Oryzias latipes: one gene and its partner. The protein of the gene in region 1 binds, or shares a complex with, the protein of each later gene. Links are inferred from orthologs where the notes say so. Each region holds a gene or a part of one and is shown in the gene's direction. Other genes may lie near its edges.

What was found.
Region 2: tctn1 (region 1) and transmembrane protein 216 share a complex: the UniProt entries of both Homo sapiens proteins name them as parts of the tectonic-like complex. The link is inferred for Oryzias latipes from reciprocal best matches to the Homo sapiens genes TCTN1 and TMEM216.

What each region holds. Positions count from the first base shown.
Region 1 is NC_019868.2:27,631,707-27,634,010, forward strand, and holds the end of tctn1 (tectonic-1), read left to right. Parts: coding exon 1-94; intron 95-165; coding exon 166-251; intron 252-326; coding exon 327-464; intron 465-546; coding exon 547-700; intron 701-791; coding exon 792-923; intron 924-1,450; coding exon 1,451-1,597; 3' UTR 1,598-1,804; downstream 1,805-2,304. UniProt on the Homo sapiens protein: Component of the tectonic-like complex, a complex localized at the transition zone of primary cilia and acting as a barrier that prevents diffusion of transmembrane proteins between the cilia and plasma membranes.
Region 2 is NC_019868.2:30,553,157-30,557,385, reverse strand, and holds transmembrane protein 216, read left to right. Parts: upstream 1-1,417; 5' UTR 1,418-1,967; exon of another isoform or gene 1,968-2,090; 5' UTR 2,091-2,165; coding exon 2,166-2,175; intron 2,176-2,473; coding exon 2,474-2,487; exon of another isoform or gene 2,488-2,558; coding exon 2,559-2,652; intron 2,653-2,676; exon of another isoform or gene 2,677-2,757; coding exon of another isoform or gene 2,758-2,797; coding exon 2,798-2,890; intron 2,891-3,673; coding exon 3,674-3,875; intron 3,876-3,941; coding exon 3,942-3,957; 3' UTR 3,958-4,077; downstream 4,078-4,229. Other genes in the region: transmembrane emp24 domain-containing protein 9, read right to left, coding at 1-29, 106-231, 434-534, 1,050-1,182. UniProt on the Homo sapiens protein: Part of the tectonic-like complex which is required for tissue-specific ciliogenesis and may regulate ciliary membrane composition.

The sequences.
Region 1 (2,304 bases):
CGAGGTGGTGAACGCTGCCGTCTCCGTGGTGCTGGGGTTCATCCGCGGAGCTTCGGTGCTGCTGGAGCAGGAGTTCCAGGCTACATTTGTCCAGGTGCTGCAGCACATCCTCACTCGCCAACGGTCTCTGGTCACATGACCGTGACGTTAGTCTGCCGTTTGCAGGACGGCGGCGAGCTGGCTCTTCGTCTCAGCGGAAATCCCGGCTATGTGGTCGGACGCCCTCTCCTGTCTGGAACGAAAACCGCAGAATATCCTTCCACAGAGAAGAAGAGACGGTTTCTTCACGCCTGTCTGCCGTTCTGCGCCTTGACCGCGTTCTCCACAGGGATCAGCAGAAGCACGGAGCTCAGAGATGCTCTGTCTCTGCTCCACAGCTCCGCCGAGCAGGACTGCCTGCGTGGTCCTCACCGGCGCTCCCCGGTCCTCTTCGGTGTGAACGCCGTGTCCGGCTGCACGCTGAGGCAAACGCGTCCCGCTCCCGTCAGCACGCCGTCTGTGGCCTTCAGGTCACCTCTGACCCTCTGACCTCTCTGATCTGCACAGGCTGGATGACGCAGCCAACTGCTCGCTGGTCCTTCAGCAGCTCCTGGACGTCCTCAGAGGACCAAACTACCCGCAGTACGTGGCTTCCTTTGGAAACTCCCCGCTGAACAAGCAGCTAGACTGGGTCTCCATCCAGAGCAGCTTCAGTCCTGTGGTGAGACCGCCGTGACCCCATCTTCTGCCGGGCGTCTCCGCTCCACAAACACTCCGGTTTGACTCGTCTCCGCCGTGACTGTGACTCACAGGAGGACCAAAGCTGCAGCCTCCCGCTCTCACTCCATCTAGAGATCGAATGGACCAAATATGGATCCCTGGAGAACCCCCAGGCCCAGATAGTGAGCATCCGGGAGATCATTCAGACCAACAGCAGCAGTTTGGTGAGACTTGAGGAGCCGCAGGTTCAGAATTCAGACTTTAGACTTAGAAAACACAGAACATTTAGGTTTGGGAATAAATTTAGATTATCCAAAGACAAAAGCGGCTAGGCTCCGCCTCCTCAGACACAAACGTCAGGACGAAGAATGATGCCTTAAAAGACGCCGTCTGCTCTCACAGCTTCATGCTAAATGATCACTTCCTGACCTTTTATCACACTTACTCCATCAGACTCATCATTTCAACAGACAGAAATCAAATCAAAGCGTTTGTCATCCGTCTGGGACGGTTGTTGAATGTCTTTGACTGAGACTGCGGCGGTTTTGTTACGGTGGACTCAAACCGTTTTAGATCGAGTTGAGATATTTGTTAGAAACAAAAAAACAAACATATTCTGGAGATGAGAGACAGGAAATTCTGCCCACAAACGAACTCTCCTGCAACTTTTATGTAACGTCTTGTCATAAAGCGACACGTTTGCGTCTCCAGGTGGGATGAACTCTAACCCTCTGCTTTCCGTCTTCCGCAGCCTCTGCTGAGCGGCGGCGGCGGCAGCCTGCCGGTCAGAAGCTCTGTGGCCTTCGTTCCAGTTTCTGCAGACGCACTTCCTGGTTACAGAGCCACGCCCACCATCGACGCCAAACTTCCCTTCAACTTCTTTTTCCCCTTTGTTTGAACAGACGCCTGCAGGCTTTGTGGTGTAATTTATGTAAATAAGATTTGATAAATTATTTTTTTCAATCAAAAGTCTTATTTAAACCTGTTTTTGTTTTTTAACCAAAAAAAAGGCAGAAAGGAGAAGTTCAAGTTATAAATCTTTAGGAGTTTTTAGTTCCAGAGACACAGAAATCTCACTTTTGGGGGGGGGGGGGGGGGGGGGGGGAGCTCAGGAAAAAGCTGACATGAACCCGAGTTAATCATCATACGAGAGCAGAGTTTGCATTAAAACTGACCACAAGCAGAGCTTCAAGCCTAAAAGTATTAGTATATATGAATAAAATAACGTTTGTGTCAGAAGCTCATGTGGTTATGAGACTGAAACTTGAATTTAATTATAAATACAGAACTGCCTTTTCCTTTTTCACTTTGTTTTTTTTTTAAGATTAAGTAACTGCAACTATAGAGTTCATAGCTGACATTATTTTATAAAAATAAGACACAATAAATGAAAAGTTAAAAATTTTACTGAGATAAAATGACTTATTTAATTAAAGATATTTCTAGTTAAGACAAGTCGGCCCACAAAAGATACATCCATCTTCAGAATTCACTGAATCCCTTTTAGGGTCACTGCGTTGCTGGAGCCTATCCCAGCTACTGACCAGGGCCACACATGCACACTTAGTGGCAATTTAGAGACACAAAATAATCTATGAAGCATGT
Region 2 (4,229 bases), about 2.9 Mb from region 1:
TCGCCCACCTGGATGTCCAGGTGAACTCTCTGCGGCAAACAGACGGCGGTTAAAGCCGTGGGTGTGAAGGTAAAGGGGCGGAGCTTACGCCGACCGCCTCCTCACCAGCGTTCCTCCCACAAACAGGGAGAACTTGGAGGAGTTGGAGTGCAGGCAGATCTGGTGCTCTCCGGGCGTGTGCGACGTGAAGGTGAAGCGTCCCTCCGAGCCGTACTGCCGAGACAGGATCACCTGCAGGCGAGGGAGGAGCTTAGAGTCCACTCCACCAAAACCTCCACAGAAGACTAACAGCAGCAGCTCCAAGTCCTCCTCTGGATGTTTACGGAGGTCAGGACGCGGTTGCCGTGGTTACAGAGACCATCTAACGAAGAGACCTTCCTCAAAGTGAGCATCACGGCACTAACGTGTCAGGAGGACCTCCTCCGGCGCTTACCTTCTCGTCAGGATCCTTGACCTCCACAAACATGCCCAGACCCGGGCTGGCCGGCAGGTACTCCTCCTTCTGCTTGTCGTACAGCTGCGTGCGGTAGTTTCCTGCACACAAACACAAGCGCCCCACAGTCAGTGACAACATCCGGCTGAACGCAGCACTTCCGGTCCTTGGACGCGCTGGTCAGGACCGTTGGACCCGCTTTCCCGGTTCTGCAGGAACCTCAGGGAGCGACCGGTCCCAGACAGCTCCTTCAGAACGAACCATCATCAACTCTGGTCCGGACCTCCACCTGCTGGTTCCTCCTGGAGGAGCTGCCTGCCCATTCTCCAGGAGAACCGCTTGGGTTCCTGGTCTAGGTTCGGGGAACGGGCTGGATTCTTCAGGCGGTTTGGTTTGTTATCCGCGTGCTGATAGGATGAAGTTAGCTTAAACCGTCCTCCGTTCCCCGGTAAAAGACCGATCCTACATCCTCACCAACTTCTACTACGAGGTGTTCGCCAACGTCTCCGTTCATCAAACGGTTCACTAACTACTTCTGGCGGCGTTGGGAAACTTTTTGACGGCGAACCGGAACTTTGTGAGCGTTAGCCGCGCGGCAGCTAGCTTAGCCGCTCACCGATGATCATGGTCTCGTCCGGGATCTCCTCGATGAAACATTTCTTCTCGAGCTCTCCGATGTGGAAGTAGAGCGCGGGCGCGCGGCTGCAGAAGAGCGCGAGCAGCAGGAGCGCCAACACGCACGGCTGCATGCTGATCCGGACCGAACCGTCTTCCAGCCGGAACCACCGAGCTCAGACGGAGTCTGCGCGTCCGCAGCAGTGCCACGTAAACCCTGGCGCGCCTTCGACCAATCAGAGCGCTGCGATGGCAAGCTGGGTATTGTAGTTGTGTGCTGGGCAGAGCGGATGACATCAGAACCAGATTGTGAAGGTTCCTCCTCCTCCTGGAGTCACTGTGGGTTTTTTAATTCAACTTCAAAGGATTACACATTCATGTAACTACAATAGAAAGACATAACAAAAGAAAAAAAGAGTAAGATACAAGACAAATAAATAAATAACATTAGAACCGTAGTTCAGAGAACTAGGGATTGTCATTTAACATGTGATCTTCAATGAAAATTGACAGTTTTATTGCATTTAAAATATAAACAGATCTCTTTATGAAATGTATTGAATAATGATTTGATTTGTAAAAATCTGCCTTTTATAGATGAAAAATTTCCCAAAAATTAATAAAGTATTAAATGCCAAACTAAATAAGTTATCACCAGAAACGACTCCAAATAATACAATGTGTAATACAATGTGTTTTGTAACCAAATAGAAATAAGAAAATTTGAAGAGAACCACCAAAAGAAATCCTCCCAAAACCTGTTAGTATTTATACATTTAATAAACAGATGATCAAGTGTTTCTATGTTGATGTCGCAGAAAGAACAGTTATTTTCTTTAAATGAGGTCTCTGAGGGTCCAACAGGAAACAGCAACAGAAACCCGCATGTCACGTGATTTCAGACCATTGATGATAAAAGGTAACATCGACTAATTATGTATTTAGAGTGATTCAGTGGTGAAACTGAAGAACATCCATTAATAAAATAATGTGAAATTGTTTCAAATATTAGTGTCTTCTGTTTGCTCATCCTGACCAGCAGGGGGCAGCACGGAGCCCCGCCTGACGCTGTCCAGGGAAGAAGAGCCGTTTCCATAGCGACCACAGCGGCTCAAACATGGCGCCTGGTGAGTGTTTTCTTATCATCGTCGCAGAAAGAACGGCGCAAAAACCGCAGGCCGTCTTTCCCCGTCATTTTTCTGCAGCTATCAGAGACGGACGGAAACACTTCCGGTCCGCCGTTGATTTCCGGTTAGCGGCTAAAAACATTCCCACTCGGTGTTTACCTCTGAAACGTTCTTAAACCACCGTCTAAAGCTAAAGATAATCCGGTCCAACAACCGTCACGTCTCCTAAACGCTTCTTAAGCCTCACGTTCAGTTTCACTCTCAGTTTGACAACATTTTTGTCTCACCGCGTCTGCAGGGAGCCGACCAATCGTATCCTTCTGCTGTCAGAGGGGGCGGGGCCTGTCCACCAGCCGCAGTTGTCCTTGACCACGCCTCCTCAGCTGTCCTCCACGCCTCTGCAGGTGCTGCTCTACCTGAACAGCTGGTACTTTGCCGCTTTCTACCTGGCGGAGATCCTCATGTTCATCTACAAAGGTGTGTGGCCCCGCCCCCCTGCAGGTTCACCACGGCTTCACCTGAGAATGAAGCCGAAGGTGTCGTAGAACCTCCAGCCTGTCCTCTGTTCCTCTGCTGGACGTCATGGAGGAGCGTCTGACGGTTGCTGCTGGTGTCGCTGCAGGGATCCTGCTGCCGTACCCGTCTGACAATCTGGTCCTGGATGTGGTCCTGCTGCTCCTCTTCCTCGCTCTGGAGGCTCTGCGCATCTTTTACGGTGACGCCAAACACAAACATCTGCTTTGCTTTCTCCAGAACCGCAAGTGCGGCTGAGAGGTTCTGGAGAACAAAGATGGAACATGCAGGATGAAGAGGATGCAGACGGGCCTGACATTGGTGCTGGATGAGCTAACGTCAGAACAATCACGGTTCTATGCTAGCATGGAAGTGTCAGAAAGACCAAGAATGTGGTTTTCAGATTTAAAAAGGACTTCAGAGCATGAAAGGCATGCTGGGATGTGTAAACGATGATGATGCTGGAGATCAAAGCAGGAAGAAGCTTGGTTCCGTGTGTGAATGTGTGACCTTCATCGTTGTGTTCGGAGCTCCGCCTCTGAAGGTTCTGTTGAAGCGGAACCTTCGGTGCAGAACCTCTCCACGCCCGTCTGAGCGGTGGTCCAATGAGGAGAGAGCGTTCTCACTCTTCACCTGGACGGCCTCCCAGACGGAGGTGGAGGGTTCTCCTCCTGGGTTCCAGGGTTCTGTCTGTGGAAGTGACATGACCCCCCCCCCCCCCCCCCACGCCAGAATTTATATCCAGCTATGAAAAAATGATCAGTTGTGTTTTTGCTTTCAAGTTGAGGCTAAATGAAAGTCGGTTTGAGGAGGAGTGGTTCTTCCTTGCACCAGTGGGCATGAAGGGGTTAAAGCATCTCTGCAGACGTTTGCTGCCTGGAAACATCAGACTCAAACCTGCGGCGAAGCGTTCAGCCGCTCAGGCTCTGTGCTGGTTCTCAAGGCCGGCTGCAGGCGCTGACGCTGTCCCCCTGTGTCGATTCAGGCTGGAAGGGGAACCTGTGTGAGCGCTCCCTGACCTCCTGCCTGTCGCTCTTCATCCTGGTCTCTTGTGCGGCGCTCGCCGTCTACTACCTGCTGCTGCAGACCTTCGTTCTGCGGCTGGAGTTCCTGCTCTGCGCCGTCCTGCTCTGCTTCTACGGCCTGGAGTTCCTGCTGGGATTCATCGCCTTATCTTCCTTCTCCAGGTACCCTGAGCCCGCAGGCCGGTTCTGAGAGCCGGGAAGTCTTTGACCCTCGATGTTCTTGTGCAGGTCCAAGGTGTACTGAGGACAGAAGAGCGGTTCTCTGGAGCCCAGAGGGACACCAGGACAGTTGTTAGCATATGTGCCGCTGACACAAGTTTCTGTGATTCTTCAGGGATTTTTGTAAATAAACATTTTTCTGCAGCTTTGTGAGTTCTGTGTGTCACCAAAATCAGATGAAGCCGGCCACGGGCCACTAGAACCTCCACAGGTCTGAGTTTCAGCTGGAAAACCTTTGATCTGTGTTTGCATGAAGGCTGTCCGTCCTCTTTTCTTAGGAATCACGAGGCCGTCCCT